2 linked regions of the Schizosaccharomyces pombe genome follow. The protein of the gene in region 1 purifies or fractionates together with the protein of each later gene. This does not show direct contact. Each region holds a gene or a part of one and is shown in the gene's direction. Other genes may lie near its edges.

The links.
Region 2: the proteins of lsd2 (region 1) and cxr1 purify together in Schizosaccharomyces pombe (affinity purification with mass spectrometry, with the first as the bait; one study listed by BioGRID). This does not show direct contact.

The regions. Positions count from the first base shown.
Region 1 is NC_003424.3:444,702-451,395, forward strand, and holds lsd2 (putative histone demethylase SWIRM2), read left to right. Parts: upstream 1-2,068; coding exon 2,069-4,540; intron 4,541-4,593; coding exon 4,594-5,829; 3' UTR 5,830-6,025; downstream 6,026-6,694. Other genes in the region: Fe-sensing transcription factor Fep1, read left to right, coding at 1-562; meiosis specific arrestin family membrane adaptor Ste7, read right to left, coding at 6,509-6,694. UniProt on the Schizosaccharomyces pombe protein: Catalytic component of the SWM histone demethylase complex that specifically demethylates H3K9me2, a specific tag for epigenetic transcriptional activation, thereby acting as a corepressor.
Region 2 is NC_003423.3:3,834,809-3,839,119, reverse strand, and holds cxr1 (splicing factor Cxr1), read left to right. Parts: upstream 1-1,855; coding exon 1,856-3,277; 3' UTR 3,278-3,723; downstream 3,724-4,311.

The DNA.
Region 1 (6,694 bases):
TGGCAATGATTCTAGTAAGCAATTATCGGAATCTACAACATCGAACACGGATAATAATGGCGTTGCAACTGCCAACCAATCCAACCCCTTAGGCATGAAGTTTCATTTACCTCCTATCCTTCCTGTTGGCGAGTCAGTCTGTTTGCCTCCTCGAACTTCTGCAAAGCCAAGGATTGCTGAAGGAATTGCTTCCTTACTTAACCCCGAAGAGCCACCCTCAAATTCCGACAAGCAGCCATCAATGTCAAATGGACCGAAATCAGAAGTTTCACCTTCGCAATCTCAGCAAGCTCCTTTAATCCAATCCTCTACCTCGCCGGTTTCTTTGCAGTTTCCTCCTGAAGTTCAGGGATCAAATGTAGATAAACGCAATTATGCTTTGAATGTTCTTTCGCAATTGCGTTCTCAGCATGATTTAATGATTCAGGAGTTGCACAATTTAAATCAGCACATTCAACAAATAGATGAATGGCTGAGGTCCTCTGACAATGAAAATATGGCTTCTGAACATATTAAATCCTCAACCCCTGCTGTTGTTGCATCTGGAGCTCTTCAAACATAAACTTGATTGGCATGTTTGTCGTGCGGCATATTTATTTATGGTAAACAAATTAGATATTATCCCGTTTAGCTGTCTATTACTTACAAGCATGACATTGTATACTATGAGTTTAGGGTAAAATACTTCACATGATTCTTATTGGTCTTTTGTTTTGCGTTAGTTTTGGTATTGGCCAAGTCCGTCTGCGGTGTTATATTCGTTAAGAGCTGGAAAATAATATTCAGTCCTTAGCGATTTACCGTTAAATTTAGAGTTAACATATATGTTTTTAATGAAATCCTATGTGGAGCATTTTTTATGATATTAATACGCATCGAAAAAGCAGATATTGAGAAAAAATAATACTACCGGATTTATATGGTATGTAGATAGTTAATATATTAAATATATTTAAACTGCCCGAGTGCAAACTCATTTGGAAATTGTCAATTCATTAATATATTTTTACAATTTTTCGGGGGAAAAAACATTTGTATACAACTATTTAAAACGGAAAATGGAGTTGCTTGTAAAAAGCAGTATCCATGGTTAATTAGTTCATTCGCAAAAAGTCATTGCTTGACTTTTAAAACTATATGATTAGGCTGAAATTTTAATTGTTCATTACAGCACATATATAAAAAACTTACACTTAATTTTCAGCTCAAATAACTTCGCTATTCATTATTTAATCTATTTAAATCAATAATAATGTAATTATGATATATATCATTTAGTTTTTCTGTTAACAACCAACAGTCCCGTGTTCTAGTGGTATGATTTCTCCTTCACACGGAGAAGGTCCCGGGTTCGATCCCCGGCGGGACTAGACTTTTTGTAAAATTCAACAATAGCGAACTTGAACCATAATGAGATGTTTTAGTATAATATTGATAAACAGTTAATCTACACTACTACTCTAAACATCCTAAGCTTTTCTGAATCTTAACAGCAATGTAACATATTTTTGGATTGTTATAATAATTTACTCCATTTGTTCTATTCTCCGCTGACTATACTTTCAAGTGTATTGTAATATTGTTTTCTGCAAGTTGAAATCAACGAGTTTAGGTAGTAGTCTTTAGCATGAAAGAGCTAACACATTAATGCAATAATTTGGAAAATGAATACAAATTAATGAACTTCACATTTTTCGTTCATCATTTCCAAAGTGTTAAGCCTGTAGAAGAGAGCAAATGCGATCGTAGAATAATACTCGCAATATGAATCAGATAAATAGGCAATTGAATGCCTCTCGGGCGTTCTTCATGGTATTCAAATAATTAAAGACACATGTATTATCTAAAAGAAAAATATAAATTCTGGATAGTCTGATAGATGATTGATTGGACTTGACATAAAAATGCTTATAATATTTGTCGTTATCCCATTATGCTATAATATTTAGAACGATATTTTTTTAACGAATCGTTAAGGATATGTTGCGCAAAGTACTTTGTAAACACCAAATCGAGATTCAATGAGATTTTACCACCTCGGTTCACTTTGATTGTATCTTTTTACTCTATGAACACGAGCGAGAATGATCCAGATGGTCATTATGACTTTCCAGAAATGACAGAGCATCATTCTGACCGGGCTTCATCATATGCTAACGCCAACAACGTTAATTCAACTCAACCTCAATTGGTGAGTAGTGAACAAGCGCTTTTAGCTATTTTAGGAGGTGGATTACAGTCTATCACACCTAATTCTGTTAATCAGAACGCGTATTCAAGGTCAACTTATCGTACAGATGGCGGCTTAAATTCACAGCCAGTTAGCTCACTGAACAATCAATGGGGAAACTATAATCCAGCATTTTTACCTTCTAGATATGATTCCTCTTTTCACCCTTACACAATTTCGCAAGCGGCTAATCAACCATTTCCTCAGCATCTTTTAGGCAATTCAAATGCAGGTGTCGCTCAGCAGTCTGGAATGAGAACAATTGGATTACCTCCAACTGTAGGTTCCTCTTTTCCTCAACAAAAGTCATCCACATACGAAAACTTTTTTGATGCAAACTCTCCGTCTTCTCAGCAATTTCCATCTACATATCCTTCACGATCACAAAACCCGCTTTCTTCCAGTGGAGATGGTTCAACGGCAATTCATGCAGGCCCCATTCAACACCAAAACTCAAATGCCTTTTCCAATTATCCGTATCCATTAGACGCTTCTCATTTATCTTCTCAGCAACTTTTGTCGATGTATCGGGATCAAGTTTCTCATGGAGTTACCCCATCTACATTCCGCAATCATGAAAGTTTTATGCCTACACAGTTGGTATCAGCAACAGAATTATCTAAAAGTGTTGATAACGCAGTTTTGCCAATACCACCTACTACTGCACCGGCAGTTGTATCGCCTCCTGCTTCATCTTTCCCTTTAATGTCTTCAGCTGCTACATCTGGTAATATTAGTAGTCCTGCACTTTTTGATTCAGAGTTAGGTGCTAGGCCTGAAGGTTCTGTTGCAATTGAGCCGTCTAGAGTACTGCTACAATGGTCTAGTCAATCATCATCTCATACTATACCATCTGCAGGAGCCAGTATCCCTACATCTTCTTTAAAGTCGTTTTTTGAGCATGCCGCTGAAGCAGCTCGTAAATGCAATCTCGATCCGAGGGCCTTAGAAAGTTTTGAACAACACATGCTTTCTGATCGTTTACACGATCCCGTTGTATTATTTCATTATTTCCAAATTCGTAACAGCATTTGTTGGCTTTGGATTAAAAATCCTACGCATGCCATATCCAGAGTTGAAGCTCAGGGCGTATGTGTCGATCGATGTTTGTTCCAATTAGCCTCTTTAGCTTATGAATTCCTTGTAAGGTATGGATATATAAACTATGGATGCTTGTCCTTTGATTCATCCTTTACGAATGAAACTAATACTGGCACAACATCCAGTTCTGCATCGAAGCAGAAGACTATTGCTGTAGTAGGCGCTGGTCTTACTGGTTTGATATGTGCTAGACAACTTACTGGCTTATTTTCTCAGTATTCTTCATCTTTTTTGTCAAAGAATGAGCTTCCTCCTAAAGTTATTATACTTGAAGCTAAAGAAAGGACAGGAGGTCGTATTTACTCTCGAGCATTGCCTGTTTCTCATACTTCGGCTACCCAAATTAACCATCATACATCTAATTCGAATTCTATTTCTAGTAATTCCACTTCTTTAAACCCCAAGGATGTTACTGACCCGTCCCATATTCCTTCAGCAATTGATTTGGGATTTCAATTTTTATTTTCGCCTATGGACGATATTTTGCTTAACCTTTTAAATAAACAATTGGGTATTGAAGTTACAGAGATGACTGGCTCAGATTTAGTTTACGATGAGACCGATACTAAAGTATTAGACATGGTTGAGGTGAAAAAATTAAACATTTTATGGGAAAAACTTTTGGAATATGTTTCTGTTTGCTTTTTTATTAACGTTGAGGAATCTGTTCGTATTTCTTGGATATCCCAATTTCAGTTGTTTATAGATGAAATGTTCCCTGATCATTTGTCCAAATCACTCTCATTAAATGCGTCACATGAATTTTCCTTCAAAAAAACAATGCTAATACTAATTGATGAAGTTTCTTCTTATGCCAAACTCGGGAACAGTCAAAAGAAATTTCTGATATGGTGTTTTAAGGTCGCGGAATTGGACGATACTTTGTACCCTCTTAACACAGTTGATACAGACTTCTCCAAAGATATTTTGATTCCAAAAGTTGCTAGAAGAGGTCTATCTCAACTGCCATGGGCATTACAATCTTATCCATCTCCCTTAAATATTCATTATGAGAAGTTTGTATCTAAGGTAACTATTGAAAATGATAAATGTACCCTTGATTGTAAGGACAACTCTTCTTATGAGGTTGACCAAGTTGTAATTGCTTGCTCTCCTTCTCATTTTTCTTCAAATATAGAGTTTTCACCAGGTCTTCCTAATTTCGTGACTGAAAACATAAAAAGTATAGATTTCAAACCCGGAAAAAAGGTAGGTTTTTATTTATTTATTTTTTTTTCAATTATAAAGTTAACATTGAGCAGGTTATTCTTCGTTATGCAGCTGCTTTTTGGCGAAAGAACATTAGATCATTTGGTATTATACCAAAATCATTAAGTCAAGAAATGAACAATGATGAGAATGATGGTAAATCTTGTTTTGTTTTGAGAATATGGAATATGCTTCCTGAAACTGGTGTCCCAATATTAGTAGCGGATATCAATCCACAAATGACAAGTTCTTCTTCTAACGAGACCTCCCACTTAATTCAAGAATTACACAGTCTAATAGTAGATCATTTTCAAAATGATTCAAACAGCTCAGCTGATTTATTAGATGCTTGGGTCACAAACTGGTCGAGAAATGGTGTCTATGACGGCTTAAATTCTTATCCAAATTTTGCCAATGATAAGCAGCAATATGAAAAAAGATTTAGGCAAAGTCAGTTATCGTATAATTTGGGTCGCTTGCATATTGCTGGAGACTATATATTCAGTTGCGTAGGCTGTAGGACATTACAAAGATCCTTTTTATCTGGCCTTTCCGTATGTACAGGGATTATTGATTCATTGGCTCCAATTTCCTTAACCATACCTATCATTGGAGAAACCTCTCGCAAAGAATTGGATCAGTTTTTGCGAAACTCTAAAGTTAATAATTTTGATCCCAATGCTGAAGCACAGCGTCACCTTTCTTATCAGGCAAGATATAGGTTGAAAAAGCAGGAAAGACTTGACGAGCATAAGGAAGAACAGGAACAGCTTGTAACTGAACTTCTTGGTTATTTACCTGAACCTCCTTCCAAGCCGAATGCAAATCCCTTTTTACTTTACCAAAAAATGCAGTGGCATGTATGCCGTGCACTTGCTGATGAAGACAAGCGAAGGTTAACAGGAGATAGTACAGCGAAGGCTACTATTAATGAAACACGTGCCAAACTAGGGAAAACTTGGCGCCAGCTTGATGATTTAGGTAAAAAACCTTGGATTGATGAAATTGCAGCACAAAGAGAAGCTTATGCTGGAAAAATTCTTCGTTATCAGCGCCTAACTAAAGAATATGAAATGAGAGCCGAGCAAATACGAAATGATTATGCGGCCAAATGCCAAGATGAACCTATTCCCGATGATGAAGCAAGATTGTTTATGCAAGCTCAACGAGAAGAAGAGCAAAGAAAACAAACTCAGGATGACAACATTTCCAAAAGTCGAGAGGCTAGCGACGAAGAGTATCATGACGATGGATCTTCTGATTCGGGTTATAATGGAACACGATATTAAAAGAAAAAAAATCAAATCACATATTGTTTTTTAAAAGTTTAGTTACTTCGCATCATTACAAATACCCTTAAAATTTTATGTACATATATATTCTCGTCATGCCCTAAATGAAGCATTTTATCAAATTGCTAATTTCAGCAAATTGTTTAAGGAAAATCTAAAATACATGTACACTTCTCGTTAGCCAGTAGCCAACCTGATTTAATGCCGAAGATGTAAGAGATAAAAGATGATATCGTAAACACAGCTACTACTCTCACTCTTTAGGATGTAATGCATGTTACCATTTTGCCATTAACATAATATTCAAGCAACAAATGATATTACTAGTACGCTTGTGAAATAAATAAAAAAATAAGTTATTAGAAAAAAAGTAATTAAAATTAACTAAGAATCATTAAATTAAGCCAAAACAGATGCGGTTGTATTTGTTGCAGACACCATGGACACTATGTATCTCAAAGCAAGTACTACAACGAAATAGTTAAAAAAAAAACATAAGATGCATATGATATTAAAATAAAATAATATAAAAATGCCGAGTTATTGACTCCAGTCCATATTTGGACATGTATAATTAAAAGCATTATCCAAAAGTTAATAGGAGATGGCATCTCAATTGTCAAAAAAAAAGTGGTTGTTATAAAGACTCGTAATTCAGGAAGTCTGTTATAAATAATTAAAGAGACTGTAAGACTTCATTGATAAGAACATCGAATTCTTTAGCATACGCCATGTTCAAAGCGTGTGGATCTTGTAGCATATTGTCGTCAGGCAAAGGGGAGCTAAGACTTGAATCTGAACAGTATGATACGGAATTAGATCGTTCATAACCCATTGGCAAAGTAGCTAGATACAGAGCATT
Region 2 (4,311 bases), on another chromosome or scaffold:
ATCGTCCGTGCAGTATCAAAGCAGCTGTAAATTGTTTTAATAAACAAATATTTTAATTAATGTTTTTATATGTTCTACTTTCTTCTAAAGTTGTTTCCCCCTAAATTCAACTAATCTATATGAATACTGTTACATACCCATGCATTTTAAGCTATATGGCTTTACTTAATACCTAAATTTCTTTTTTTTTTTTTTTTTTTTTTTTTTAAATTAAAAATATTCATTACCTTTTTCCTAATTACTTTGTCTTTAAAGTGCAATGCGTAGGTATTGATAGCAGAACCAAATTTCAAAACTATTATTATTTGTATTTCTAAATTTATAATGGTATCTTTCATTAAAAATTGATCAAGTAGTGTCGCTTGAATTCTCTTTAGCGGCTTACTATTCAATATTTATATGACTGAGTGTTGGCGCTTAACCTCTAATGTATTTAGCCAGGTGGATACAAAGACAAACAACTGTATGAAAAATGAAAGTTTATAGAATTAATGGAAACGGTGAAAGCAAAATTTAAGCTGTCTCTAAACCTACAAATTCGCATTTTTCTTTTGCCAGCACCATATGACGCATCCGTAGGATCTGCACATTTCAAGCAACGTAAATCATTTACCTCATTTTACTACTATGACTGAAGCGATGGAACCCTGCGCAGGAATCCAAAACTGCATAAGAAAAGAAATTCAAAAGACATAATTAATAACATGGTTGCACAAATAAAATTCAAAAAAATACTTATGTAAATGAAAAACCTTAAAAAAATCAATAATTTATAATTGCATAAATAGATTGCCTAACAATGTGCTGATAGATAAGTCAACTTACCTACGCTACAACATCGAAACCCCGTATTTGAACAATTCCTTTGTTTCCTTTGTCCTTGTGCTTATATTATTTCTCATTTTCTTATATTTTAATTGAGCTACATATAGAAAGTAATATCGAGGGAATTGCGTCAAATTTGAGTTAAAAATTGCATTTTGATTTTGAAGTTAGCATTTCGCTTTTTTTTTTTTTTGAGGTCTTTTATTTTAATATTTTCTTCTCTTTCTTTTTGCTCGTAGGTTTAAAGCGCAATTGCTGTTATTTTGATTGCAGTAGACTCTCGTGTTTACGTTAATTGCTATATTCGTTTTTCGTTTCTGCGTTCAGCGATACCCAAGTATCGTTGTTATTCCTTCTGCCGTTTAAATTGAACTTTCTCTTCCGTTTTCCTTTAGACATTGCATATTGTGTGCATTTTACAAGCATACATTTTCACTTTTGAGTTGACTTTTCAATTAATTTAATATATTATCATTAACTGATAATTCGTTTGCAATTAAACATTGAAAAGTTTTTTTTCCTTGAATTAGATTTTTTTTTATTAAAGACACCTCTTTTTTTTGGAAACTCCTAATTTATTATTTGAATTTCTTCTAGACTCTTTATCAGTTATCGAAGACTTACTACTTAACTTTGATTCATATTTTTTTACGTTTGGATCGTTGAGTTAACTAATTGGCCTAGTACCAACTAATAATTTTCTCTACCTTCGTTCATTTCACTTTGTGTTTGATCGACTACAATCCAGTTTGTACTTTTTCTTGGACAACTAACCGTATAAGTTATTTCCGTTAACTCACCAAAGTTATTTTAAGAGTTTGTGTTTTGTATACACAGTACATCATCTCATTTTTGTGGTGATAATTAGTCCTTTTGGCGATTTATTCATTGTTTCATCTTCACAAATATCCATTGTCGAAACTTTCATCTAACTTAGTTCAGCCTTCTGTCTCTACCGTGAGCATAGTGTGTCGATTTTTTTTGGTTTCTAGTATAATCCACTCTTTTATTAATTGCTAAAATTTTTAAAATGTCTTCCTCACCGACTGAGTCTGAAATTTTACCCAAGGAATCGCATAATTCGATAGACGAACAAAGCCAACAACCAGCTAATACGGATACTTTGGTTAAAGATAACTCCTTCAATGAACAAGATGACCAAGAAGTGGACAATGATTATAAATCAAATGATGAACCCGTACAATCTCAAGATCCGATTTCTCCAAATATGGCATCCAACGAATCTGGAAATTCCGAAAATACTAGCAACTATGGCTCATCAAGAGATGAAAACGTCTATCAAAAAACGACGCTTTGGATGGGTGAATTAGAGCCTTGGGTTACTGAAGCATTTATCCAGCAAGTTTGGAATACTTTAGGAAAGGCAGTCAAAGTAAAGCTTATTCGTAACAGGTACACAGGCATGAATGCTGGCTATTGTTTTGTCGAATTCGCATCTCCTCATGAAGCTTCAAGCGCGATGAGTATGAACAACAAACCAATTCCTGGTACAAATCATTTGTTTAAACTTAATTGGGCCTCTGGAGGCGGATTACGTGAAAAGTCTATTTCAAAGGCCTCAGAATATTCCATATTTGTGGGAGACTTGTCACCCAATGTCAATGAGTTTGATGTGTATTCTCTCTTCGCATCTCGATATAACTCATGCAAGTCGGCCAAAATCATGACTGATCCTCAAACAAATGTGTCAAGAGGATATGGTTTTGTCCGTTTTACGGACGAAAATGATCAGAAATCTGCATTGGCAGAAATGCAGGGTCAAATTTGTGGTGATCGTCCTATTCGGGTGGGATTAGCCACTCCTAAAAGTAAGGCTCATGTTTTTAGTCCTGTGAACGTTGTACCTGTTAGTATGCCACCAGTTGGATTTTATAGTGCTGCACAGCCTGTTCCTCAGTTTGCTGACACAGCAAACTCAACCGTATTTGTTGGCGGTCTCTCAAAATTTGTTTCTGAAGAGGAGCTTAAGTATCTTTTTCAAAATTTTGGAGAAATTGTTTATGTCAAAATTCCACCTGGAAAAGGTTGTGGATTTGTGCAATTTGTCAACCGACAGTCTGCTGAAATTGCTATCAATCAGTTGCAGGGTTATCCTTTGGGCAATTCTCGTATCCGATTATCTTGGGGAAGGAATCAGAATCCAATTGCGGCTCCTGCCTTGAATTATCAGTCTCAGGTTTCACAAACTACTATTCCTGCTACCTCATTATTTCCGGCAATGAGTTTACCACCCCAGGCTCAGTTTAGTCCATATCCGGCTGTTGCACCTTCCCCCTTAGCCCTGCAAACGAGGGGTGCACCGATTGGCATGGAAATTTCGATTGGATCTCCTGCCCTCGTACCTGATCAAATGCATATTCCTGAAAACGGCAACTCTGATACCATGCCTGTTCCTAACACACAAGGAAAGCATTTATCAGCTGAAGAGTAATGTAAAAGTACTTGCGATTGAATTTTTTATAATGGCATGTCTCATACTTTTTATCATCATTCTTGGTTTTTATAAAGTATGAATAATTTTCCATCTATTCTAATAAGTTTGATGTTCATAATGAATCACGGAGAATTATTGTTTCGAGAAACGTGAGAGTTCTTGTAAACTCTATCTGTTATTTTGGACGTTAAATCAAGAGAGTCCCTTAGCATAATTGATTAATAAGCATTTTACATGTGTTCATGAATTCGAATTATCGAAGAAAAGCTTGAACTAAATTTTTGTTGGACATAGCTTCATTACGTTTCCTTTCTAAGGATTGACGGTTTTTATATTCATCTCTCCCTGTTTATGATATGAAATGCTACGTTTTTTTAGCCGAAATTTTCATTTGTCATGATTTTTATAGTCAAGAAAAAGGTTTTCATACGACGTATATAAAAGATTAAATTTAATAGTAATGATGGACTTCAGAATTATCGCACTGAGATTTTTAGGTCGCTGGAGAATGCAGTTTAGGCAAGGTATGTAAGTGCTTATTGAGATTTCCCATTGATAAACAACTTTTAAGTTGCTTCTGGTTTAATCATTCGTTCTTTTAGGTATGAGTTTAGTTAAATGATCAGCGCCATTTTCAAAACATTTCATTCAACCAAAAATCAACCGCCTCTAAATTCAATTTTATTTGAATGATACTCCCTATTTATCGAAAAATCCATTCAATTAAAATCTATTATTAACTTTTCATCCATTTAAATCTACTCCATTTTTAAAGCTCTTGTTTACAGAGTAACAACGCGACTTGCAACTTCTACTACGCCAGGGGGGCGACTGTCGCAATAAACAACTGACAGAAAACGCACTTATAGTATAGGCTCAAAATCTTTTTAAATCGTAGCCTTTCCCATTAATACGAATACATCATCAAATTCAGTTTTGCGATTAAGTATAAACGGGCTTAACTCGTGCGTTTATATACTTTGTCAACGCTGTGATTAGTATTCAACCTTTGACGTTACACTTTATTAACC